Oryctolagus cuniculus: one gene and its partners. The protein of the gene in region 1 interacts with the protein of each later gene in a pairwise test. Links are inferred from orthologs where the notes say so. Each region holds a gene or a part of one and is shown in the gene's direction. Other genes may lie near its edges.

Evidence for each region.
Region 2: the proteins of KIFC3 (region 1) and CLIP4 interact in binary tests that used the Homo sapiens proteins (3 or more experiments, as listed by UniProt). The two-hybrid records come from large-scale screens. The link is inferred for Oryctolagus cuniculus from reciprocal best matches to the Homo sapiens genes KIFC3 and CLIP4.
Region 3: the proteins of KIFC3 (region 1) and ATF2 interact in binary tests that used the Homo sapiens proteins (3 or more experiments, as listed by UniProt). The two-hybrid records come from large-scale screens. The link is inferred for Oryctolagus cuniculus from reciprocal best matches to the Homo sapiens genes KIFC3 and ATF2.
Region 4: the proteins of KIFC3 (region 1) and ZGPAT interact in binary tests that used the Homo sapiens proteins (3 or more experiments, as listed by UniProt). The two-hybrid records come from large-scale screens. The link is inferred for Oryctolagus cuniculus from reciprocal best matches to the Homo sapiens genes KIFC3 and ZGPAT.
Region 5: the proteins of KIFC3 (region 1) and FAM161A interact in binary tests that used the Homo sapiens proteins (3 or more experiments, as listed by UniProt). The link is inferred for Oryctolagus cuniculus from reciprocal best matches to the Homo sapiens genes KIFC3 and FAM161A.
Region 6: the proteins of KIFC3 (region 1) and USP2 interact in binary tests that used the Homo sapiens proteins (3 or more experiments, as listed by UniProt). The two-hybrid records come from large-scale screens. The link is inferred for Oryctolagus cuniculus from reciprocal best matches to the Homo sapiens genes KIFC3 and USP2.
Region 7: the proteins of KIFC3 (region 1) and KANSL1 interact in binary tests that used the Homo sapiens proteins (3 or more experiments, as listed by UniProt). The two-hybrid records come from large-scale screens. The link is inferred for Oryctolagus cuniculus from reciprocal best matches to the Homo sapiens genes KIFC3 and KANSL1.

The regions. Positions count from the first base shown.
Region 1 is NC_091449.1:41,231,008-41,234,507, reverse strand, and holds part of KIFC3 (kinesin-like protein KIFC3), read left to right. Parts: intron 1-34; coding exon 35-146; intron 147-2,129; coding exon 2,130-2,311; intron 2,312-3,235; coding exon 3,236-3,340; intron 3,341-3,500. UniProt on the Homo sapiens protein: Minus-end microtubule-dependent motor protein. Involved in apically targeted transport. Required for zonula adherens maintenance.
Region 2 is NC_091433.1:173,864,631-173,868,130, reverse strand, and holds part of CLIP4 (CAP-Gly domain-containing linker protein 4), read left to right. Parts: intron 1-2,550; coding exon 2,551-2,690; intron 2,691-3,500.
Region 3 is NC_091434.1:66,026,607-66,030,106, forward strand, and holds part of ATF2 (cyclic AMP-dependent transcription factor ATF-2), read left to right. Parts: intron 1-2,468; coding exon 2,469-2,587; intron 2,588-2,719; coding exon 2,720-2,848; intron 2,849-3,500. UniProt on the Homo sapiens protein: Transcriptional activator which regulates the transcription of various genes, including those involved in anti-apoptosis, cell growth, and DNA damage response.
Region 4 is NC_091442.1:348,523-352,799, reverse strand, and holds the start of ZGPAT (zinc finger CCCH-type with G patch domain-containing protein), read left to right. Parts: upstream 1-1,477; 5' UTR 1,478-1,882; coding exon 1,883-2,319; intron 2,320-4,277. Other genes in the region: ARFRP1 (ADP-ribosylation factor-related protein 1), read right to left, coding at 289-355, 726-808, 1,176-1,263, 1,382-1,474. UniProt on the Homo sapiens protein: Transcription repressor that specifically binds the 5'-GGAG[GA]A[GA]A-3' consensus sequence. Represses transcription by recruiting the chromatin multiprotein complex NuRD to target promoters.
Region 5 is NC_091433.1:140,941,708-140,945,942, forward strand, and holds the start of FAM161A (protein FAM161A), read left to right. Parts: upstream 1-1,435; 5' UTR 1,436-1,908; coding exon 1,909-2,091; intron 2,092-4,235. UniProt on the Homo sapiens protein: Involved in ciliogenesis.
Region 6 is NC_091432.1:110,941,470-110,945,760, forward strand, and holds the start of USP2 (ubiquitin carboxyl-terminal hydrolase 2), read left to right. Parts: upstream 1-1,491; 5' UTR 1,492-1,631; intron 1,632-2,095; exon of another isoform or gene 2,096-2,595; intron 2,596-3,421; exon of another isoform or gene 3,422-3,581; intron 3,582-4,291. UniProt on the Homo sapiens protein: Hydrolase that deubiquitinates polyubiquitinated target proteins such as MDM2, MDM4 and CCND1. Isoform 1 and isoform 4 possess both ubiquitin-specific peptidase and isopeptidase activities.
Region 7 is NC_091448.1:17,223,636-17,225,957, forward strand, and holds the end of KANSL1 (KAT8 regulatory NSL complex subunit 1), read left to right. Parts: intron 1-154; coding exon 155-382; 3' UTR 383-1,822; downstream 1,823-2,322. UniProt on the Homo sapiens protein: Non-catalytic component of the NSL histone acetyltransferase complex, a multiprotein complex that mediates histone H4 acetylation at 'Lys-5'- and 'Lys-8' (H4K5ac and H4K8ac) at transcription start sites and promotes transcription initiation.

The DNA.
Region 1 (3,500 bases):
CCCCCCACAGCCGTGCCTGTGCCGCCGCCCCCAGATTGGCCAGGCCATCGAGGAGGTCAACAGCAACAACCAGGAGCTGCTGCGCAAGTACCGCCGGGAGCTGCAGCTGCGCAAGAAGTGCCACAACGAGCTCGTGCGGCTGAAAGGTGACCGTGACCGCCAGGCGGGCCGGGCCGGGGGTGCTGCCCCATGGAGGAGCTAGACCAGGACACGGAGCCGCAGAGCGGTCAGGGAACATGCTCCAGGCTGTGTGGCGGAGAACGGTCTGCCTCGGGCGTGTGCAGCGCTGAAGCCCCCGCCCAGCGCCCGCAGCAGTTCACTCCCCGGGGCCCTGGGTAGTGGCGGCTGGGTTGCCACTTGTTCTCACCTGGGGCCTGCACGGAAGCCTGGGTGCTCTGTGCCAGGTGCTGCCGCCCCAGAGGTGCCGTCCCTGCCCTCATGGTACTCGCCTTGGCTGGGAGAATGGACAGTGACTGTCACCCAGGGGACCCTAACTGTGTTCCCTTACGAAAGAGCCGGGAGGCGCTCTGACAGCCCCTGGTATGGGACAGATGTCGGTGTGTAGGGGGCTCCTGGAGGAGGCAGAGCTGTAACTGACACCTGGCCTGTGAGCTGGACGGGGACTAGGAGGGGAAGGAAGGGGGGGCCATGTTGGGGGGGGTGCTGGGATTCCACGAGTGGGTTGGAAGCAAGGGGTGCATGACCAGCTCATGCTGCCAGACACCCTTGGGTGCCCCAGTGTCTCTGCCCAGCTGTCTGCCTGCCTCCTGGCCTGATGGCCGAGCCCTTCTAGAATGACCAGAAAACGTCCTTGGCTCATCAAGGCTCCAGCTGCTCGTTGAGGGGTGAGGAAGCCAAGGTCCAGAGGGCAAGGTCTCTTCTCAGGCTGGGGCAGTGCCGGAGCCCCACCAGTGCCACCCGCCTTTCCTCCCAGCCCCAAGGCAGAGCCCCCAGGGCTGCATTGCTCAAAGGCATACCACAGTGCAGGGGATGGATGACAGCCCTGGGAGGGGGGCTCCTGGACCTCTCGCCTTCCTGGAACACCAGAGGGTACCAGTGTGAAGGCCATGTGGTTTATTTTATTTTTCGAAGATTGATTTATTTGAAAGGCAGAGTTAGAGGCAGAGAGAGAGGTCTTCCATCTACTGGTTCATTCTCCAAATGGCTGCAATAGCTGCAGCTGCGCCGATCTGAAGCCAGGAGCCTGGAGCTGCTTCTGGGTCTCCCATGGGGGTGCAGGAGCCCAAGGACTTGGACCATCTTCTGCTTTCCCAGACTATTAGGGAGCTGGATTGGAAGTGGAGCAGCCGTAACTCGAACTTGTACCCATATGGTTTTTTTTTATTTTTCTTTTTTTCTTTTTCTTTCTTTCTTTTTTTTTTTTTTTTTGACAGGCAGAGTGGACAGTGAGAGAGAGACAGAGAGAAAGGTCTTCCTTTGCCGTTGGTTCACCCTCCAATGGCCGCCGTGGCCGGCGCGCTGCGGCCGGCGCACCGCGCTGATCCGATGGCAGGAGCCAGGAGCCAGGTGCTTTTCCTGGTCTCCCATGGGGTGCAGGGCCCAAGCACCTGGGCCATCCTCCACTGCACTCCCTGGCCACAGCAGAGGGCTGGCCTGGAAGAGGGGCAACCGGGACAGAATCCGGCGCCCCGACCGGGACTAGAACCCGGTGTGCCGGCGCCACTAGGCGGAGGATTAGCCTAGTGAGCCGCGGCGCCGGCCCCCTTATGGTTTTATCCACTACACCCCAGCACCACCCCCGGCTTTGTACTTTTTAAATATTTGTCGGAGATGCAGAGAGAAAAGAGACAAAAAGACCTTCCCTCCACTGGTTCACTCTCCAGGTGGCTGCAACAGCCAGTGCTGGGCCAGGCAGAAGCCAGGAGCCTGCAGCTCCATCCAGGTCTCCCACCAGGTGCAGGGGCCCAAGCACTTGGGCCATCCTCTGCTGCTTTCCCAGGTGCTTTAGCAGGGAGCTGGGTCAGAAGTGGAGCAGCTGGCACTCAAACCAGTGCCCACATGGGAGCCTCATTGCACGCAGAGGCTTAGCCCACTGCGCCAAGATGCCAGCCTTGGCAGTCTGCTCTAGACCCGGCCTGGGCCCTTCTCTCCACCCCCAACCAACTCAGGGAACATCCGGGTGATTGCTCGTGTCCGGCCAGTCACCAAAGAGGATGGGGAAGGCCCGGAGGCGACCAACGCAGTGACCTTCGACCCTGATGACGACTCCATCATCCACCTGCTGCACAAGGGCAAGCCCGTGTCCTTTGAGCTGGACAAGGTCTTCTCGCCGTGGGCCTCGCAGCAGGACGTGAGTGCAGCCCAGAGGGACAGACAGACTCGTGGGGAGAGCCAGACGGAAGGTGGTGGGGACGAGTGAGAAGCAAAGACTGAGGGCCTCAGAAGCCTCCCGTGGGAAGGGCCGGGTTGCCTGCAGACCACCCCACCCCACCCATGTGTCAGGCCCTGCCCACCATGTGGCTCCTCCCATTTATGTGATCCAGGGCCCCTAAGCGCCCTCTCCTGCCAAGAATACCCTCTTTTGTGGTTAAAGATTTATTTATTTGCTTCCAGCTGCTGGTTCACCCCCCAAATGGCTGCAGTAAAGCCAGGGCTGGGCCAGGCTGAAGCCAAGAACCAGGAGCTTTTTACGGGTCTCCCATGCGGGTGTAGGAGCCCAAGCACTTGGGCCATCTTCCACTGCTTTCCCAGGCCATTAGGGAACTGGGTGGGAAGTGGAGTAGCTGGGACATGAACTGGCACCCATATGGGATGCCTGTGCTGCAGGCTGTGGCTTAACCCACTGTGCTACAGCACTGGTCCCAAGGATACCCTCTTGTATCAGTCCCCTGGATCTTGCTAGGGCTTCTGTCCCCTCAGGTACATGGGTGCTGTGTGGTCTCTGCATCCCCCTTTCTCTGCCACACCCAGTCCCCCGGGCCTGTCCTGCCTGTGCCCTCCTGTTCCCACGTCCACCCCTTTGTTCCTGCATGGTCTGCTGGCGGCAGGCCCTGGAGGTACAGGTGCAGGCAGGTGCCTACCTCTGCCTTCATTCACTGAGCTGCACGGGGGACCACGCACCGGCGTTGGTGGAAGCACCCCAGCTGCCCACCAGTGTCCAGCACGGGGGGCTGGAGAGCAGGGAGCATCAGCAGGGCCACAGGCCATGGTGTTGCTGGGGGCGAGCGGGCTTGGAGCTGGCGGGGCCCCACAGTCCGTCACACTCCTCTTCCAGGTGTTCCAGGAGGTGCAGGCCCTGGTCACCTCCTGCATCGACGGCTTCAACGTCTGCATCTTCGCCTATGGCCAGACGGGCGCTGGCAAGACGTACACCATGGAGGTAGGTGCTGCCCGCGGGGCACCCCTCACGGACACCGGGGTTCTGCACAGCGTGTGTTTTGCCTCGGGAGCAGAGGCCCCGAGACCCCAGGCCACTTTAAACTGGGGCCTAGGCAGCAGTTGCTGCCGCCAGTGGAGGGGGCGTTTGGGGGACATGACCA
Region 2 (3,500 bases), on another chromosome or scaffold:
GGTTGAGTTTCCTGTTCTGGGTGGTAGCCTGACCCCGTCCTGGCCTTTGTGAGCATTTTAGGAGTGATCCAGCAGATGCCTGTCTCTCAAATAAAAAATTACAAAAAACCACATGAATCTTACTACTTTTTTTAAAAAAAGATTTGAGAGATATAATAAATAATGTATTTATTAGCAAGAAGGGGAGAGAGAGAGAGAGGGATGGAGGGAGGGAGGAGATAGATGGAGAGAGATAAATAGAGCTTCCATCCACTGATTCACTCCCCAAATGGCTGCAACAGCCAGGGCTGGGCCAAGCCAAAGCCAGGAACCTGGGTGCAGGGGCCCAAGCACTTGGGCCATCTTCTGCTGCTTTCCCAGGCACATTAGCAGGGAGCTGGATTGGAAGTGGAACAGCCAGGACTCGAACAGGAGCCCATATGAGAGGCCAGCCCTGCAGGCAGAGATTAACCTATGCCATAGCGCCGGCCCCATGCATCTTACTGCATAAGTATGTCATTCCAATCTGAGCTCAGTAGTGAGTTATCTTAGTGAAGTGGTCTAACAGAGACACTTTAGAGACCAACTGGGCGTCTGCCCCACTTTTGGCACCTAGTTATGTGACTTTGTATCATTTTGTCTGAGCTTTGATTTCCTCTTAGGCAAAGGGAGACGAACCCCTGCCATCTAAGGTGTGGGTGAGGGCTCTCAGAGTGTTTGCTGCATTGGGAGTGCTCAGCAAATGTTAGCTCCCTAGTGTTTCTATTTTTAGGTCCTTCTTGTCTCTATTCCCTGCCTGTTTTGATTGTTCAAGACAACAGAATCTTGTTTTCTTTTCTTTGTTTTATTTCCTTCACAAGTCATTCTCTTTTTTTCCCTCTAATCATAGAACAATATCTATTTTTTCTTTAAATCGCAAGGAAGACGTTTTAAGAACTATTTAGCTCACATGTTCAGTGTCCTTACTAATACAGCTTCCACAGTAACCCAGACGTGTTCTCCGTGGGCTTCTTTGACTTGCATGTTGTGAGATGTTACTTCTTTTATTTAGGTGTTTATTGTTGGAGTAGCATTTCCCCTCAGGTTCCTCGCTCGTTTCTCGTGGAACTTTGGGAAACTGCACAGCAGTAGCAAGGACATTTAATGTCCACAGTGTGGGGTGGACGCTTGCCTGGTGGCTCAGATGCTGGTGCAGCTGCCCACATCCCACACCGGAGTGCCTGGGTTCCGTAACTGGCCGCACCGCCTCCGTCTTGCTTCTCGATAATCAAGACTCTGGGAGGTGGTGGTGCTGGCTGCCGAGGACTGGGTCGGTGCCACCCACATGGGAGACCTGGAGTGAGGTCCTGGCTCCTGGCTTCAGCCCAGCCCAGCCCCTCTCGGGGAGAGAACCAGTGATTGGGAACGCTCTCTGTTCATCTGTTTCTCTCTTTCTCTGGTACTCTTGCTACTTGGGCATATTTCTGTTTTAATGTTCTGTTACTCATATGTGTGAATCTGCTATTGAAGATGTGTGTTTTGAGAGGCAGGAATGTCAGTAAAACTTGACAACAGCTTTCTGTGCCTTAGAAGTAATGCTGGAAAGATTTAGGATCTGAGATCTGTGTACTTGCATTTGTTTTCCTCTAAAATGAAATGTAATCCAATGCGTGGAAATCTCATGGTCACAGTCATTGAGACACACCTCATTTCTGAGGGTCCTGGCTTTGGTTTGAGAATTGCTTAAGGTGAACCTACTTTTTCCAGCACCTAAAAGTATTTGCACCCCTTGAGCCTTGATTTTTTTTTTTTTTACAGGCAGAGTGGGCAGTGAGAGAGAGACAGAGAGAAAGGTCTTCCTTTGCTGTTGGTTCACCCTCCAATGGCCACCGTGGCCGGTGTGCTGCAGCCAGCGCACCACGCTTATCCAAAGGCAGGAGCCAGGTGCTTCTCCTGGTCTCCCATGGGGTGCAGGGCCCAAGCACTTGGGCCATCCTCCACTGCACTCCCTGGCCACAGCAGAGAGCTGGACTGGAAGAGGGGCAACCGGGACAGAATCCGGCGCCCCAACCGGGACTAGAACCTGGTGTGCCAGTGCTGCAGGTGGAGGATTAGCCTAGTGAGCCGCAGCACCAGCCTTTGAGCCTTGATCTTAGTGCTGATTATTTTCAGCATATATATTTTTAAAGCTTTAATTCACGGGGCTGGTGCTGTGGCGCAGCGGATTAATACCCTGGCCTGAAGCACCGGCATCCCATATGGGTGCCGGTTTGAGTCCCGGCTGCTCCACTTCCAATCCAGCTCTCTGCTGTGGCCTGGGAAAGCTGCGGTTGATGACCCAAGTCCTTGGGCCCCTGCACCCGCGGGAGAGACCTGGAGGAAGTTCCTGGCTCCTGGCTTCAGATCAGCGCAGCTCCAGCTGTTGTGGTCAATTTGGGAGTGAACTAGCGGATGGAAGACCTCTCTCTCTCTCTCTCTCTCTCTCTCTCTCTTTCTCTCTGCCTCTCCTCGCTCTGTGTAGCTCTTTCAAATAAATAAATCTTAAAAAAACCCAAAGCTTTAATTCACATTTTTTTTTTAAATCTCCAACAGAGTTTTCTTTCTTTGATCCTAACGATGCCTCGTGCCAGGAGATCCTCTTCGATCCCAAGACGTCGGTCTCAGAATTGTTTGCCATTTTAAGACAGTGGGTCCCTCAAGTCCAGCAAAACATTGACGTTATCGGAAATGAGGTGAGGAGTCACGGCAGCTTGGGTTCTGCGCTGTCAGAGCGCGGTGGAGCAGAGCGTCTGCTGTTGGCATCTGTGCGTCCCGGCTTTTCGTGGGGCTGGGAGTCCAGGCTGTGCGTTCTGCTTGCTGTTTCCTCTTGCTCCGCGCGTTCTTGCACCTGGAGTTCTGACCTTGCAGGCTTGCTAGGTTCAGGGCGAGCTGTTTGTCCCTGTGAAATGGGGAGAGAGAACACTCCCCTTGGGTCGTGTGCCTCAGAGCAGAGAGCCCTCAGCGTTCTCAAATCTGAGGCAGCGACACCTGCCCTGCTTCCTGCTCTGTGGCAATTCATTTGCTAAACATCTGTGCACTTGGTGAAGGGATTTGATTGCCATCACATTATATCCACACTTCGGGGTGGCTTCATAAAGATCGAGGCATCAGTATAATTTTAAAACAATATTTGGTTTTTGAGAGGGAAGCTTCCCTGACGAGGGTGCTATCAAACTGTGTAAAGAGAGCACTAAGCCCTTCTCCCTAATAGCATGGTACTCAGGAGAAAGAATACCGGGCTTGCGTTTGGGACAAGCGTACAATTTGGATTGCCAGATTACCTTGGAGTAATCTTTAAGAGTTTCCTCCAGTGCGGTGACAAGTACAATTTTCATTACCGTTGCTGAGTGCAGATTTAAAATTCACCCTAAAGGGAAGTCAGTCCTGTCTGTGGCGACTGCTGAGAGTAAAACAATTCAGATAAGTAGACTGGCTTGATTCTCAGCGCTGCATTGAAGGTAATTGGTGCTTAGGTGGTCCACATTGTGATTCTGTTTTCCCTC
Region 3 (3,500 bases), on another chromosome or scaffold:
TAGCAAATTTCCGGATTAGAATTTTTTTTTTTTCCAAACAAAACATTTGTCTTAGTAAAATACTCGTAAGGGGTCCTGAATTCATTAGGTGCTTTTTTTCGTGTGTGTTGACCCTACATACATACAGTATTATGTAAGCAATTATTTTTCATATTATGTGAAAAGAGAAACCCAATTCATGCATTGATTTATTCATTTCATGCTATATTAGCTAGTTATTTCAGTATATATACACACACACATCTGTGTATATACAAAATATGAATAATTTTACTATATGTATTTTATAAGGATTATGATATAAAACATTTAATATAAATTTTAGACACTTTTCTATCACAGTCACATAAATTTGCATTTCAGATACTCAAATTAACTCTAGATTCTTCTTTCTTGCACACCTTAGGTTATACTATTTGTAAGTCTGGAATTATGTCCGAAAACTTAGTAATATTAGTACTTTTAAACAACTAGTATATACATCAAATTATCATATGCAATGTTTTGCATAGGTAACACAGCAAATATTGGTTGATTTTCCTGTACTTTCAGTATCAAAAGGTTGTAATGAAATGGGGAATAACAAAAAGTAGTCAATCTATCAGAGATAATTTATGTAGGAAAGATATAGGGAATTTCAGTAGGTCTTCAGTTCCATAAATGAAAGGAAGTGTAGAAGAATGAATAATGCATTTCTTTAGTCTTCTGTGCATCAGATAATAAGACCTAGAACAACAAAAAAAAAAAATAAAAACAAGCTGAAAAGTTCACTTTCCTAGGCATGAAGATCTTTGTTTCTGTGAAACTTAATGTCTTAAAGCAATCTCTCTAATATTTTAACTCAAAAAGTGTTTTGAAGTTGGTTTCTAGAAATTATTTTCCTGTTTGTATTTAATGGAATAGAAAAATACAACACGTTCAAACACAGCATTTGACCATTTTTTTACTGACATGTTGAACAGTTTATATTGCTTTGTAACACATGATGTGTGTGGTATATATCTGATGATCAGTAGCCATATGCAATCTGCATGTTACACAGTTGTGTCTATGTTGGCTTTACTTAAGTCTAACAGTCCCAGTAGTCATTAATGAAAGTGATCTATGCTTATGCATTTCAAGACTTTTCTCTCCCTGAGTTGTGAGCTTTCTAAAGAGCTTAGATAGGCAAACCTTTTGGGTATGAGAAGAGTTAAATTTATGTTTGACTTATTAATTCAGTCATGAGGGACTTAAGCTGATACATGTACATGAAGCCTTCAATGTAGCATGATTTTGGAGATAAGAGTAGGGTATAGGTTAAAGATTATACTGATAGGCAGTAATTTGATATGATTAATAGTGACCAAGATAGGCCTGCAGTATGTCTAATGTGTATGACAAATGGGTTATTTTGATGTTGAATATATTTATGTGTAGAAAAAATATTAATACACTTTGTGTATGTTAGGGGGAAAGGTAAAATAGTAATTACCATTGTGAAACACAATAGTTAATAAATATTTGAATTTAATTTCATAAAAGAGCTCTTAATAGATTACTTTTATTTAGCTTAGGTGAAATCCTTAAAATAACTTATAAAATTCATGCCCTAAAGTAGATAAAATACTAACAAAGTTTGAATATGCTACCAATTATAATCAACATAAATAAACAGCATTGGGGACAATACAACTAAATGAGCAAAATTTACTATCTTTCATTCAACCTAGACTTTAACTGACATTTGTTCTGTAGATATATATATATATATATATGTAAACAACATAAGCTGCAAATTTAAGTATAGCTAAAATATTTGAAGTTGTAAAAAAAGTAGTTATTTTATTTGCCTAGAAATTAAGCTAGAACGTTAAGACCAAGCTTATAAAATATGCTAAAGTTGAACAATCAGCTTTAGTAGATAGTAATAAGGAGTTTGTTTTGTTTTCAGGACTTTTCACTTTCTTTTTCTTCTTTGTGGTATTTTAATCTACCTACTAAAGATACTGTTTTAATTTAAGCTTGCTTTCAAAATACATTATGAACAGCTAGTGGAAGTGCCAAGTTAAAATAAATATACATGCTCTTATCCTAGTTTTACCCAAAATGCATGTATTGAGATTATAATAATTTTTAGTAATGTAAGTTTTTTTTAAAAGTTCTTATCACTGTGTTAGATAATGATAATAGTTTATCTCTTGCGTAGAAGATGTTCATGCCACTCAAGGGAGAGTGAAGGGGTGGACAAAGGAGCAAAAGACTTCTTTCATCCTTTATGGTTCCCAAAGTTGGAGGAAATACCTGGAAGTGCAACAGAAACTTAACCAGATTTTGTTTGCTTTAAAGGAAGAGGTCTTTCCAAAGAGAGAATTAACAACTGTGACTGAACCAGTCCTTCTAATTTGTTAACTTATTGCTATATTTTAGAATCTTAATATGGTATACAATATTTAAGTCTGTGTGATTACTTCTTGACTTTATTTCAGATCAGACCCCAACTCCAACAAGATTCTTGAAAAACTGTGAAGAAGTGGGTTTGTTTAATGAGTTGGCAAGTCCATTTGAGAATGAATTCAAGAAAGCTTCAGAAGACGACATTAAAAAAGTACGTTGTTAATCGTAAAATTAAGAGAAGAGTACTTTTGATAGAAAAAATATTGCTAGCTTATACTTCATACTTTCTAATGGCCTACATTTGAACTTGTGACATTTTCTTTATTTATTGTTTACATTTTAGATGCCTCTAGATTTATCCCCTCTTGCAACACCCATCATAAGAAGTAAAATTGAGGAGCCTTCTGTTGTAGAAACAACTCACCAGGATAGTCCTTTACCTCACCCAGAGTCTACTACCAGTGATGAAAAGGTTAGAATGTTATATTTGTGATAGCATATAAGCTAAGGAGGAAAAAGTTGGTACCCCAAGTAAAGTTTAATTTTTAATGTGTAAAAGCCTCTGACTAGCCAAATATTTCAGGGAAAGAAGATTCCTTCTTTATTCAGGGCTGGGGAGCATTTTTTTCTGCCAAGGTCCATTTGGCTATTATAACATCATTTGTGGGCCATATAAAATTATCAACTTAAAAATCAGCCTGCTGTAGATTTATTGAATTTTGAGTACCACCTGTGGTTGCCTTGGCAGGGCCAGACCAAATGATTTCACAGGTCTTGTATGGCCCACAGACTGTATGTTTCCCACCCCATTAATACATAATCAACTTAAACACAGAGAAATTATAGGGGAGAATAAGAGTCATTTTAGATAAAACTTACTTTAAGAGGGAAATGTAAATTTACCATTTAATGTGGTTTTTCTGTATTTTGTTGGTTAGTTACCTTTAGATGAGGGCACTTCAGTAAGTTTATGGAAAAAAGTTTATTTTGGTGAAAAAGAACTTTCAAATCCATGCATAGTTTTTTCATAGCATACATTTTCATGAATTTTTTTCTGGTATCCATGGTATCCCAAGAATTTCAGATCAGCAGCTTAATTAAGAAATCTGTACAACTAGTAACTT
Region 4 (4,277 bases), on another chromosome or scaffold:
GGGGGGAGCAGGTGTACACTGGGGGGGAGGTGTGCACTGGGGGGAGCAGGTGTGCACTGGGGGGGGAGCAGGTGTGCACTCACTCTGGGGGAGGCAGGGTCCCCGGGGCCCCCACTTTGTCTCCTCACCGGGAACACTGACCCGGCAGCGCGGGCGTCCCCTGCACACGTGAGCCTGAGCCGGGCCTGCGAGTCCCACACTCAGCGGCTGTGTCTGACCCTAGAGTGCTGGCCCTGGACCGAACTCCTTAAACCCTCAGATGAGCCGCACCCTCTCCTCACTGCGCACCTGGACGCCTGCCCGCTGCCCCGGGGGAACGCTCCACCACCACTTCTGGGGCCACTCCGGGAAGGGGCTGAGTGAGACAAGAGGTGGCGCAACTCGGGAACCGACAGGAGCAGGGACAGCAGGGACCACGGGCAGGGCGGGCAGCGCGGTGTGGGCGGGCAGCGCGGTGTGGGCGGGGCAGCATGGCATGGGCGGGGCAGTGCCTTGTGGGTGGAGCAGCGCAGCATGGGCGGGGCAGTGCCTTGTGGGTGGAGCAGCGCAGCATGGGTGTGGGCGGGGCAGCATGGCATGGGCGGGGCAGTGCCTTGTGGGTGGAGCAGCGCAGCATGGGCGGGGCAGCGCGGTGTGGGTGTGGGCGGGGCAGCATGGCATGGGCGGGGCAGCGCGGTGTGGGCGGGGCAGCATGGCATGGGCGGGGCAGCGCAGGGCCGTCTTACCTTGTCCCATAAGGACTGCAGCTCCTCCTGGCCGCCCAGGTCCCAGAACATGAGGCGAGCTTTCCCCACGTCCACGGTGCCGACTGGACAGAGAACAGGAAAGGCTCGTGACCTTGCCCCTGGACACACACGTGCCAGAGCTCCTGGGGGACCAACAACCCACTGGCGCTGCTGGGAAGTCAGCGGCTGAGGGCAGGGCAGGCCCTGGGGTCACCATCGGTCAGGGCGGGGTCTGGGGTCACCATCGGTCAGGGCGGGGTCTGGGGGTCACCATCAGTCGGGGCAGGCCCTGGGGGTCAGCAGAGGAGGGCAGGGCAGGGTCTGGGGTCACCATCGGTCAGGGCGGCCCCGGGGTCAGCAGCAGTCAGGCCGGGCTGCGGTGGCCAGCTGCTGGGCCGTGGCCGTCACAGCAGGCTCAGGGCTCCACCCGCGCCAGAGGCCCCGCCTTACTGTTGAGGCCCACGGTGGTGGTGATCTTGCTCAGGCTCATCCCCTTGTAGTTCTTGCTAAACCGGGTCTTCGACTGCTCCAGGAAGGTCTGGGGAGACAGGGCAGGCGGCGTCGGGGGCCAGTGCAGGCAGGGCCGCGAGCCGCTGCCGCTCAGGGGGCGGGGCCTGGCCCCAGCCCAGCGCTCCGGGCCGCGGCCGGGCACCTACCGTCTTGCCGGCATTGTCCAGCCCCAGGATCAGGATGCAGTACTCGTCTTTCTGGAACATGTACTTGTACAGGCCGGACAGCAGCGTGTACATCCTGCCCTGGACACCGAGACACGTCACGGCCGTCGGGCCCGCGCCCCGCCCCGCCAGGCTCGAGGCGGGCCCGGGGGCGGCTCCCGCACGGGCCTCGGCTCCCGCCGCCCCGCGTCCCGGCCGCACGGCCCCCGGGCCCGCAGCCTACCTGCGCCCGCCAGACGCGCGGAGCAGCCGAGCGCCGGGCCCCGCCGACCCCGCGCCGACCCCGCGCGGCGCCTGACGGGACGCGTCCCGGCGGCCCCCGCGCGCCCGGCACTTCCGGCGCGGAGCGGAAGTGCCGGCGGCAGCGGCGGCGAGGGCGGAAGGGGCGCCGGGCGGCTGTGGTGGGGGCCCGGGGGCCGCGCGGAGGAGGCCGGCCCGGGCGGACGCGGCGGAGGGCGCCCCCGGCGCCGCGCGGCCCGCGGCATGGACGAGGCGGCCCTGCAGACGTACCGCGCGCAGCTGCAGCAGGTGGAGCGCGCCCTGGGCGCCGGCCGGGACTCGCCCGAGGAGGCCGACCTGCGCCAGCTGCAGCGGGACCTGCGGGAGCTCATCGAGCTCACCGAGGCCGGCCTGGCGTCCGACGGGCCCGGCGCCCCGCCTGAGCCCCCGGCCCCGGCCGCCGCTGCGGGCCCCGCGCCCGCGCCCGCGCCCGCCGAGGAGCTGAGCGGGACCAAGGTGAACGCCCCCTTCTACAGCGCCTGGGGCTCGGCCGAGTACCACAACGCCATGGTGGTGGGCACGGAGGAGGCGCGCGGCGGCGCGGCGCGCGTGCGCGTGCTCTGCCTGTGCCCCACGCGCGCGGCGCTCAAGCCCTGCCCGTTCTTCCTGGAGGGCAGGTGCCGCTTCACGGAGCGCTGCAGGTGAGGCGCGGGAACCCCCGGGCGCGTCTGCGGGAGGCCGGAGCCGGTGCGGCCCAGCCGCCGGCTCCGCGGGAAGACGTGGAGCGTACCTTCCTGCGGGGGTCCCCCCGCGTGCGCAGAGCAGGGGCGGCGCCGTGACCTCCCCCGCTGCCCTGGCTCTGCCAGTCTCGCGCCCCTGCGTTCCCTTCCCGACTTTGTAAAAGTATTCGTTCACTTGAACGACTTGGAGGTCATCCATCCGCTGGTCACTCCCCAGATGGCCGCAGCGGCCAGGGCTGGAGAAGGGGGCGGGGCGGCCACGACGCGGGGCCCAGCCTTGCCGGCACGTCTCCCGCGTCTCCCCTCCTTGCTTCCTCCCTGGAGTCTTGCTGTAGCGTGCAGGCGGGGCGGCTGGGCTCTCCTGCCCGGGGTCTCGGGGCTCCGTCCCCGCCGCTCCGCTGGAGGGGGCAGCAGGCGCCGGGCGCTGCTGGCCGAGGCGGCCCGGCCGTTCTGAAGACTTGCAGAGCGGGTTACATACACCTGCCCCAGCACGGCTAGGGTTGCAAAGTTGTTTTCCTGGACTTTTAAGACAACAGAAACAAAACGGGCTGGGCTCCCGCTGCGTGGGTCCCCTGCAGTCTGCCCCCTCTGCCGTTGGTGCGCCTGCTCTTGCTGGAGGCGTCCCCGCGTGTGTCGCGTGGGCGGTGTGTTCAGCCCTGTGGATGCTGCCTCTCTGTTCTGTCCCCGCCTCCAGGGAGAGCTTTGCCCGGCCGAGCCCTGGCGGCAGTGACCTTGCCTGACCGGGAGCTGCGGGGGCCCGGGTTGGACTCTGTTTCCCCTGTGTCTGGCGAGGACGGCCAAAAAACTGTCTCAGACCCCCTCCCTCGACGGAACTGGGCGCTGTGCCGGGCTGTGAGGTCAGACGCTGTGTGACCAGATGGACTCCCTGACCAGCTGGCCGGGAAATAGCCGCCCCTCCAGCAGTGGCCGCTGGCCGGGCTCCCCAGGCTCGCCCGCGCCCTGGCTCAGCACTCCTTGTCTTTTTTAGATCGATTTATTTGAAAGACAAAGTGACGAAGATCTTCCATCCGCTGACTCACTCCCCACAAGGCCACACCAAATTCAAAAAATTTATTTATTTATTTGAAAGGCAGAGTGACAGAGGGAGAGACAGAGATCTCCCACCCACTGGTTCACTCCTCAGGGGGCCTCCACAGGCAGGCTGGACCAAGCCAGAGCCAGGACTGGGCTGTGCTGGACCAGGCTGGAGCCAGGACTGGAGCCGGGGTGCCCCAGCACTTGACCATCGTCTGCTTCCTTCCGAGGCGCGTGACCAGGGAGCTGGAGTGGAAGCCACACTGCAGTAGGGCGCCAGCGCCACAGGCGGCAGCTTCACCCTCGGCCACAGCACCAGCCCCCGCTTGGTGTTGCCGTAGCTCCCGGCCCGGCCAGCCCCTGCTGTCTCTGATCGGCCGTGTCTCCACACGTCACAGTGGGATCTGCCTGTCACCCCGCCTTTTTCTGTGGCTTACTTCACTTAGCCCTGGTTTCAGGGCCCATTACCGTGTGGCGTGCATCAGAGCTCCATTCCAGCCCACGCACGGGCGTTCGACTGGAGTGGGGGGCTGTTGGGACCCCACGTCCCCCTGCAGTGCCGCCTGCAGCTCCTGCTACTGTGGGCCTTGGGAGGCAGCAGGGAGGGCTCCGGCCGTTGGGTCCCCAGATGGAGTTCCTGGCCCTGGCCTGGCCTCGTCCTGGCCGTCGTGGGCATCTGGGAGATGAACCAGTAAAGTCTGTCCTCTCGAATAAATACATTTTTAGAAAGAATCGTTCACGGGGGAGCTGGATGGGAAGTGGAGCAGCCGGGACTCGGACTGGCGCCCCCGTGGGACGCTGGCCCTGCAGGCGGTGGCTTTACCCGCTGCGCCACGGCGCCGGCCCTGGTTCTGACGGTTTTGATGGCTCTGTCTTCTCAGAGT
Region 5 (4,235 bases), on another chromosome or scaffold:
AAGAATTATACGGGAACTTGATTGCCAGCTTAGCCAGCTCTAGCTGTCTGCATATCCTGTATCAAGACAATGAACGGGCCGGCACTGTGACATAGGTTAAGTCTCTGCCTGTGGCACTAGCACCCCATATGGGTGCCGATTAGTGTCCCAGCTGCTCCACTTCCACTCCACCTGGGAAAGCAGCTGGCCTACGTGGGAGACCCAGAAGAGGCTCCTGGCTTTGGTCTTACCTTGGCGGTTATGGCCATTTGGGGTGTAAACTAGCAGATGGAAGATCAATCTCTCCTTCTCTAACTGCCTTTCAAATAAATACATGAATCCTAAAAAACAACAGGGGAGACGGAGATGGCATTCCAGATTGCTGGTTTAGGCGTGGTGCAGCCCTAGCCAATGTGGCCATTTGGGCCATTGAACCTGCGGACGAAGATCTGTCTTTGTCTTCCTCTCTCTAACTTTGGCTTTCAAATAAATTTTTAAAAAACTTTTAAAAAGTAAATAAAAACTTCCCCTCTTAAATAATCATTTCCCCCTAAATAAAAGTTACCTGCTTGTGGAGTTAGACTTTGGAAATGATTCTTCGTGGTTTCCTCATTTGCTGCAGGTAAGTTACTTTGTTTTGTTTAAGATTTTATTCATTTATTTGAGAGGTAGAGTTAGAGTAGAGACAGAAAGGTCTTCCATCTGTTGGTTCACCCCCCAAATGGCCGCAGTGGCCGGAGCCGCGCCCATCCGAAGCCAGGAGCCTCTTCCGGGTCTCTCTTGCGGCTGCAGGGACGCACGCACCTGGGCCATCCTCCACTGCCTTCCCAGGCCACAGCAGAGAGCTGGACTGGAAGAGCAGCAGCTGGAACTAGAACCGGCGCCCCTGGCCGCAGGCGGAGGATTAACATATTGAGCCTCGGAGAAGGCCCCCAGATAAGTTGCTTTGTGTGACAGCTCCTCCCGGTGTTTCTTAGAACTCGCCAGAAAGCGGGACCACACTTTGGAGTGACAAAGGCCCTTAACAGAACGGGAAATAGTGCAGACTTGGCCAGGGGCGAAGGAATCCAAATGATAGGGCGAGGAAAGGGGCGGCGGCCTTGGTCTCACCAAGGAGGGGCTGAGGCAGCATGTGACACTCTGGCTTGGCCTCTTGCAGCCACGTGGTGAAGGGAAGGAGCCAGTGGAGGCGCCCCAGTGCCCAGTGGGAAGGTGGCGGGGGTGAGGTGGAATGAAGGTGTGTCTATGGCGCGTCGGACACTGGCGCCCTCAGTCCCCGCCACTCATAGGCCTGCGACTCCAAAGCGAGCATCGCGTTCTGTACGGGTATCGTCATTGGTGGGCGGGCCAGGCGCCACCCTACCCTGGGCTTTTTATTGGTCAGGTCAAAAAAATCGCGCGAGAGTCACCTAGCAGCCTCCTTCTGATTGGCTGATTCCTGCTCAGGTCAATCCTTCCCCTTCTCTTGCTCTGAGGCAGCCATGTTTGGTATTGGGATACAAATCTTGACATTCTTCTGAGGTCACTTCACAATAAGATGCTACTCTCCTCCGCCATCATCCCCTCCCAACCTGGTATTCCAGTTAATAAAAATGCGCTCTTGTCTTCACAAAACGGGTGTGTTATGATAGTGTCAGAAGTCTGCGTTTAGGTGACCGGAGGGGAAGAGGTGCCCTTTTCCGTCCGCAATCTTCTAATCCAGCAAACAGATTTAGTTCTGACTCCCATTCTCCAGTTGAGTGACGGACTCGGGTCCCAGGCAGCCCGAGAAGCTTTTTAGTCTTTTGATCCCTCGCAGCCCCTGTAGCGTCCCTAGTTACCGCGCCCCTAGTAACCGCCGGCTGTAAGCGAGGAGCCGCCGGGTCTCCCGGGCCGCGCCAGCTTACCCGCCCCGGGCCAGCGCTGGCGCTCCGGCCTCGGAGGCGGGTGATGGCCGCCTCACACCGAGAGGCCAGGCTGGCGGCCGCCAGTCTCCAACTCCCGGTAAATCCCAACACCGGAGCGCGGGTCGCCCAGTACGAACGCGAAGACCCCTTCACTTCCCTGACGGCAGCGGCGGCGGCCTCGGAGGATGAAGACGACTACAAAGTTGTGCGGCCTGAGCGAGTGGCGGTACAGCGGGGGCACGACCGGGGATGGGACTGGGCGCGGGCTAAGGGCTGGTCCCGGTCCCCGCCAGGCTGATTTCCGGCTGGGAGACGCGGTGCCGCGTGCAGATCCTCCCGACCCGGTCCCCGGCCCACCTCTTTCTCTGCCCCCACAGAAAATACTCGACACGGAGGCGTGGGAAGGCCTTTTAATTTTCACCGAAGAGATTACTATAAAAATTTCTTGGAGGGCATTCATGTCACTCCATTTTCTAGACAGTTCAAAGTACAGAATTTTATTCCCTACTCTTTAAGTATCTGTTGGGAATGAACAGCCAGTATTCGCGTTTTTTTGTTTACTTAACGAGGAAAATTAATCTATCCCTTGGTGGATAATCCCTGAAGAAACAGGTGCATCAGCTGTGCTATCAATTGTACTTTAGTGTTACCTGACGGGTGTTTAAAACATCAAGATGGTGGGTAAATCGACACACGTACAGATAAATAGCCAGAGAAGCAAATTACTGAGATTCCAGTGCTTCCCAAATGACTCCTCAGGGTGGGAGGAAACAGCCTATTCGTTGATCAGTTTTCAGAGCCACATGTGTCCTGCTCGCAAGTCCACCAGGTTCAGCGTTCTTTAATTTGTCCAAAGCGTCTCATAAGCTAACTGTCATGGCCTGGGTCTAGTAGAAATAAATAACTGCATGTTTTGGAATTGTTATCTGTACTCTAAAGCTATTAATGAAAAATTTTGTAGCAGCATTTTGTATGGCCAATATCTCTCCAACAGGGTAACAACTCATGGTTATCCCTAAGTAAGGCAGCTGGAGACCCTGAACATGAACCAGGGGAAGCATCCGAGGACCAGCTTTGCTGTAATAAAGCTCCCCCCACCCCCACCCCTCACACAATTTTCAGTGGGCAACAAAGGAGGCACAGTGATGGAGGAAAAAAATCTTTGAATGGAGGAAAAGAATTTGGAATCCTGAAGTCGAATCCATTCTCTGCCATGTGCTGGGTGATGTTAGCACATAACTTCCTTAAAATCTCAGTTTCTTTCTCTGAACAAAAAGAATAATTGTCTCTCTTTCCCAGCTGACCTAGCTAATATAAGATCCAAATAAGATAATGTATGTTTTATTGAAAGCACAATTTATATAAATAATAGTTATTTAATTTTTTCAATTTATTTATTTAAAAGGCAGAGAGCTAGAGACAGAGACAAAGAGGGATCCTTCGTATGTTGGTCCCCCAAAAGCCTGCAGTAGATATGGCTGGGCCAGGTTGATACTGGTAATTGGGAACTCCATTTGGATCTCTCACGTGGATAGCAGGTACATAAGTACTATCAGAACCATCACCTGCTGCCTCTCAGGTCATGTATTAGCAGGGAGCTAGAATTGGAAGCGGAGTCAGGACTTGAACCTAGGCACTCTGATACAGGATGCAAGCAGTATCTTAACCACTGTGCCAAGCACCCACCCCAAATTAAAACAACTGCCCATGGGACTGCCATTTGAACAACTTGCCCTAAGATGACAGTGTGATTTGGCTGCTGTGGTAGGGGAGTCAGTCATTTATCTGTAGTGGTAATTACACTTCCAGAGGGCCTGTTAAGCTAAAATGTATACTACAAACTAATATTACCTTAGGAGAGATTAGTTTGTACAATGAGCTAGTTTCAAAAGGATGGGGACCTACCCAAAAAAGAAAACTAAGTCTTATGAGTTTGACACTGTTCTGAGGCCATCGTACCTGACAGATCCCAGAAGTAAACCTTGATAAGCTACCACAGAAAGTCCCACAGGGCAGAAAGTTCTGGGGCTGGAGGAAAAAGTGCTGAAAAGACAGGGAAGAGAGTGTAGGAGTCAGATATTTGCCTTCAGATTGGTTAGAGTCTCTATCTCAAATTTTCAGGGTTAATTTGTTTCAGTTTTGTCAAATATAACATGTAAATGCAGATACCATACCCACCAGAACTATCACAATAAGCTTCTGTTAGTCCTTTTGTTTTGCCAAAGCCAGTCTACCCCATCACTTCCATGCACCATAACCCCCTCCTGTATACATATACCCTTACGTGATTCTTTGACCTTGTTTGGGCACTTAGGTATGGTGCTTGAATCTAGTTTGGAGATATCAGTTTATAGGTCCTGCTATGTGGGT
Region 6 (4,291 bases), on another chromosome or scaffold:
CAGGGCCGGCGCTGTGGCGTAGCAGGTAAAGCTGCCGCCTGCAGTGCCGGCATCCCATGTGGGTGCCAGTCCTAGCTGTTCCACTTCCGATCCAGCTCTCTGCTAATGGTCTGGGAAAGCAGCAGAGGATGGTCCAAGTGCACCTGTGTGGGAGACCCAGCTCCTGGCTCCTAGCTTTGGATTGGCCCAGCTCCGGCCATTGTGGCCATATGGGGAATGAACTAGCAGACAGAAGACCTCTCTCTCTCTCTCTCTCTGCCTCTGCCTCTCTGTAGCTCTGCCTTTCAAATACATACATACATACATAAAAAAGCATAGGTGCACATGGATACTTGTGTTTTTAAAAAATGGGGGGGGGCATCTTCTTCACAGCTCCTGGCGCAGAGGGAAGAATGAATTCAGGTATGTTTGCAGGTAGAAACTTAGGTCTCCACATCCTGTTTGCACCTAGTTTCTCCAGGAAACAGAGGAGGAGGAGGGTTTGAGGGGTGTGCAGATGGGTGAAGTCACCTGCTATGGAGAAGGTACTCATTGTTGGTCCCAGTGAGGTTGAAAATCTGATCTTGCCCTGGCACCAGTCCACTTGGTCCTCACAAGCACGTGGAGAGGGGAGGCAGGTCAAAAGTGCAAGTGCTTGGGCCGGAGTTGTGGTGCAGCAGGTTAGGCCACAGCCTGCAAAGCTGGCATCCTGTACAGACACAGGTTCATGTCCCAGCTGCTCCACTTCCAATCCAGCTCCCTGCTAGTGGCCTGGGAAAAACAGCATTAGAGGGCCCAACTGCTTGGGCCCCTGCACCCAGGTGGGGGACCCAGAAGAAGCTCCTGGCCTCAGCCTGGCCCAGCCACAGCCGCTGTGACCATTTGGGGAGTGAGCCAGCAGATGGAAGATTTCTCTTGCCTCTCTCCGTAACTCTGACTTAAAAATAAAACAATTTTTAAAAAAATTCAAGTTCTTCGATGACGAAGGAGAATTCCTTCCATAGTCTCTGTTTATGCAATCGGGTAGTCATCAATACTCACCAATCCATGGAAGTAAACGGAGCAGGGAGCTCCTATAGGAGCAGGCCAAAGGAGTGGAGGCCTAGGCTGAGGACTTCCCCCAGCCCGGTGGAAAGGGGCAGTGACATTCAGCGGTTCCTAAAAACTGAAAGTGGATCCGCCCGGGGCTCAAGTTCCCAGGCTCCCTCCGCCCCCGGCCCCTCCGCTTTCCCAGTACCTTCCAGCTGCCCCGCCGCGTCGCATCCACCCCACTTCTGTCCTTGCTCCACCCACTGCAAACTGGCGTGCTTTCCTTCCACGTGGTACTCTGTGTACGTCGGTTGCCCGGGAGACCCTGGCCGGGCGGGGAGGGGATGACGTCACAATAGAGACGAGCCAATCGCCGTGAGACGCGGGGCGTGGCTCTGCCAGCCTGGGTGCAATGAGGTGGCTGCCCGCTGGGTGGCGCCGATTTCCCGGGGAGGTCCTTCCAGGGCCCCCGGCGGAGGTGGGGGAGAGGCGGGCAGGAGCCGAGGCCAGGGAGCCCTCTGCGTCAGCTGCTGCTCACTGCACCGCGCCTGTACCAGCCGGGACTCACCCGCAGCTCCATGCTTGTGCCGGGTTCGACTCGTCCATCCTCCGAGAAGAGGCAGGTACGTGCCACCTGTCGGAGATCGGGAACAGGGGGTGCGGAGGTCAGTTGCCGGTTTCAGGTTCCGAAGGTGAGAGGTCAGCGTCAGCCTGGGCACCAGAAATGTAGGGCGAGGGCCAGCTGAGCGGGGGAGCTCCAGCGGCGGGCGCCCGCGTGCGAGGGGGGCTGCCAGCTGGCAGCCCGTGGTGCCAGGAAGAGCCATCTGTGTACGGATCGGTGTGTTCCGAGAAGCGCAGCTCCCGCGGGCCGGGGGCCTGAGCCTCACCGCCTGGACGCCGACGGCCCCCTCCCCACGCGTGCGCGCAGCTCGCCAAGCTCGCGACGGCTGTCTGTGGTCAGTTTGCCAGAAGCGGGGGAGGGGGGTGTTGGGGGAGGGTAGCAGTTACGCGGAATGGGAGAATTTCCACCAATCCCAAATCAGAAAGAGGCATCTTTGAAATCCTCACCAATCCCAACCCAGACGCCGGCACGCGGTGCTCCGGGGCACGCAACTTCTAGTCTGGAGCCCAGGGAAGCCAGCCCAGGACGACCCATTCTAGCTCCCCGCGGAGGAGTGGGCGCTCCACCTCCCAGGCCCGCTGCTTTCGGAGCGGGACCAAGATGGAGCTGGAGGCAAGGGCTGCTGCCCTCGCCTCGCGCGTCAGGGGCGCGAGAACAGCCCCGGGGAAGCGCGGCTGCCCCCTCCCCTTTGATGCCGCACACACGTGCCAGGCTGCAGTTGGAATGAGGACCGGAATGACAGCCCGGGCGCGGGCGGCCTGGGAAGTGCATCAGCAGGTCGAGGGCTGAGTCAGTAGCCCGTGCTGAGACGGGGCGGAGGCACAGCCTGGGGAACTCGCCGCGCTCTGGGACAGCCAGCGAGAAACTACCCGGGAGCAGACAGGTGCACCAAGAACTCTCCTCCTCCTTCCTGCGACCCTGTGCGGCCCGGCCCCGAGGCCCTGGAATCCTGAGCTCTGGAACAGGTAGAGTGGGAGCCCCCAGCAGGGTCAGGCAGGGGGGGAAGGGTCCCAGATGGGCTGACTCCCCCCCCCTCCCCGTGTTGGAGAGGACATTTAGAAAGATGCTCTTCCCACTGATGGGCCAGGCACCTGTTCAGAGCCCTGTGGCACTCTGGTGTTGGAGAGGGTGCCCACGTCCCCTTCCCAGGAAGATTCGCGGGGTGAGGTGCTGCTCTAGTACAGCCGCTAAGCTACAGGAACCAAGGCAAGTGTTCGGTTTAACCGTCATGGGTTGGAGTCTTCTATAGGCCAGGAAATGTCACAAAGATTAATCCATGCTCACAACTGTGAGATGTACCCCTATTATTATTATTTTCTTTTATTATTATTCCTCCTGTATAAGCTAACAAGGAGCCCAGGCCCAGCGAGCACAGTGATTGCTCACTGTCTCAGATCCAGTGGGAAGGAGCTAGAATGCAAGCCCAGGCCGAGGCGTCCATGCTGAAAGCGTATGGAGCTGAAGCCTGGGTGCTGGCCGCTGTGCCCCGAGACCCACTCCTTCTCCCAGTTAAAGGAGCTGGGCTGGCCCCGAGGCCTCTCCCCTCTTTGCCCCTGTGGTGGACAGATCCAGAGCCTCTGCCTTTGCCCCCACCCCTCTGCCCTCTTTCCTGTCCTGTTTCCTCCTGACACCCACTCCCCTACCCCACCCCTCCGTCCCCCCTTCCACACGCGCCCCTCCCCAGAGGCCCAGCGGCTCTCTTAGGCTGGCACTGGCCAGGTGGGGCAGTGGCGGAGGGTGGGCCTGCTACTGTCCCTTTAATTCTCTCGGGGCTTGGAATCCAAGTGAGTTGCTGCCGTCTCAGGGAGGTCAGATAAGATACTATATATATCAGCCGGAACCCGAGCCCCGGATTACCCAGCCTCCTGGCTCGGGCTCTCCGCCTCCACTGGGTTCCCTGCCCTGCCCGGGAAGGAGAAGCCCCCAGGCTCCGCCAGCTCCCCCAGCACAGGTCAGTCGTGTGCCTCTGGTGTCTGCGTTTCTGTCCTCCAGACGTCCAGGGGTCTGGGGTAGCCTGTGGTTCGAGGCTGCCCACCCGGCCTGTGGGAGCCATGGGTGGGAGCTGAGGACTGAGGAAAGAGCGATCCCTGGAGGACAGAGTGGGAGATGGAGACGCTCCCTGGGGAGGGTCTGGGCAGATCACGCCTGAAGAGGGAATATATGGGCACCAGCGCTGCCTGCAGGTCCCGTTCTTTGCCACCTCTTGGAAGTAGAGGGATGCCCACCCCCTCCCAACCCCAAATCAAGACGCACCCTAGAAGGCAGTGCTCTGAGCCCTCCCACTTCTTCTCCACCAGTCAGGAGTCTCCCCCTAATCTCCAATCTCTATCACCCCTCCCCCATCCCTGAGCCCCTGCACAGCCCCCTAGAGACCAGAGGGACCCAGATTCCCCTGGATGGTCCCTTGCTGAGGCAGGGGCCCGGCGGTGCTAGCACAAGACAGACAGAGCTGCCACGAACAGGCAGGCGGGGAGGGGGCAGGTGGCCACCCCAGGGCAGGAGTGGAGCAGGCAGAGTTCCCGGACTGTGGGCCCCGCCCCCACCCTCTACCCGCATCCTCCACTCCTGCCAGGGTTGACACTTGTGCCCTGACTTTAGCAGGCGGCCAGCGCAGCGAGGGGTACGGGTCAGAGAGTGTCAGCTAGGGGCCCCCTCTCACCT
Region 7 (2,322 bases), on another chromosome or scaffold:
GGGGACAAGGGATTACACTTGAAATTGACCGTCTGAAGAGAGGGTGGGGCTGTATTATTAAAAGGGTGCTGCTCACTGTGTGAGGGGTCTTCCTGGATTACTAAAGCAGCTAGATGGGACTGGGTGCTCACCAAGGCGATTTGTCTGCCCACAGTCCGTGCAGCCATGGGAGCGGCGCACCTTCCCCCTGGCCTACAGTCCCCAGGCCGAGTGTGAGGACCAGCTGGATGCGCAGGAACGGGCAGCCCGCTGCACTCGGCGCACCTCAGGCAGCAAGACTGGCAGGGAGGCAGAGGTGGCGCCCACCTCGCCTCCCGTTGTTCCCCTCAAGAGTCGGCATCTGGCGGCAACAGTCACAGCTCAGCGCCCGACTCACAGATGAGTGGGAAATGGGAATCTAAACAGACTCACTAACTATTGGCATTAAAGCTTCAGAAATCTCTGCGTTTGATATTCAAACATCATATGCCGGAAATTTTCACAGTTTTTAGTGAATTTAAGGAATTTAGATCCTACTTTGGTATTTTTTTCTTGTTTTGATTTTTGTTTTGTTTTTGTTTCCATGTTTTCTTGTCACACACCTGAGCACTTCCTCCAGTTGGCAAACAGAAGTTCAGGATAAGACCCTGCTGGCCTGGTCCTGGCGTAGCCTCTGCACTGTTGAATCACTGGACCTACGAAGTTAGATGATCACCCTTCTCCCTCACCCCTGTGGGCAGGGTGGAATGCCAAAAGCGCAGAGGGAATGGAAAGCTCCAGTTCAGCTTTGCCTTCTTAGGTTAGGGTGGGACAGAGCTCGGCACCCTGGGCTCTTACGCCTTCCCCTCTCATCAGTGACTTGGTTCAGCTCTGGCCAGGTCCCCATCTCCCACACCACGGTCTCCCCCCACCTGCCCGCTGTACTCCCTGAGCCCTCAGCTGGCAGAAAGCTGCTCCCTGTCACCCGTTTTCAGTTTCACTGCATTTGGCCATGTGCCATGACTCCTTCACTGTAACCTGGCTGCAGCTGCTCAGGTTGCCCCAGCCCGTCCCTCTGTACCCTTCCTTCGTGGCTCCCCCAAACGCCATGCACACCCGGTCCTTCCACTCGGAACGCACTTGCCTCCTGTGCTGCTCTGTGAAGGTGCAGTTAGGACAGCTGCACCTCTGTTCCCACTCCCCTGCAGGGGCAGCCATCTCTCCTGTGTGCTGTTGCTTTCACCAGCTGATCCACTCCTGTGTCAATTGGACTTTCCTCTTTCACACACCCCTTGCCTGTGGAACATCGTCTAGTCCTGGCTGTGGTTTCCATCCCTCCCCCGTTCCCTCCTTTGTTAACCTTGTGCCTGTCTCATGTATAATCACATCACCAAAGGGGGAGGGGGGAAGGACTTTTTTTTTTCCTGCCATTTTGTAATCGTATAAAAATAGTAGACAAACTGCTTAATGGTTGGGGTTTTTTCACAATTTTCAACATTAGTGATTTTTTTTTTTTTGGTTCTGTTTGCAAGTTAAAGGGTTTGTCATTGTTTCTTTCAAAAACAATAATGCACCATATCCCTATGCATAAAGTGCTTCTTCTATTTATAAGGTTGAAAATTCTGAATAACCCTTTTAGCATTGTAAAAAAATTGAAAAAACTGTATTTTGTAAATATTTTCTTTTCCTGCTTTGAGCTGTGTAATGGCAGCGAAACATGTAGCTGTCTTTGTTCTATAGAAATGCTTTTCTTCAGAGAAGCTGATCTTTGTTAATGTCTTGATTCTGTTCGCAAAGCACAGACTCGTGCTTAAAAAAAAGGAAGGAAAAATTGAAAAAAATAATAAAAAAAAGAGTTACAGAATGTTATGTATGTGCCGGGTGTTTCTTGGCGTGTCGGGCTGTGTGTGATAACTGGCTCTGAGTCGGGAGGTCTCTGTTCCGCCGTCACCTGGCAATCGCCAGTGAATGCACTGTGCTAGTTCCCGCTGCGGGGTGGGGCAGGGCGGACAGGGCGGACCGGGCATCCTGTAGAGCCTCTGCCTTTTCTTTTTACTGGGCTGAAGTGGCCATAGCCCCTCGGTGGTCCTTGTTCTCCAGTGAGGCCAGTGCTGTGATGCTGTGTCCCTAGGCTTAAGTTGCTTGCTCTTGGAGCTTTACTTCTCACATCAGTCAGTGGCTGGTCTGCACAGAGCCTGGGCTGGCGCCCACCGTGCTACCTGAGCTTACAGCATCTTTCTTCGAAGGAGGCACAGTGCTTGATTTTCTTGGTAGGAATGAGCAGGCCTCATTCTACCCCCTTCTCTGTTCTGTTTATGGCAGTCTAGCCAGAGAGAGCAGAGGCTGCCCGGTGAGGTGCCGCGG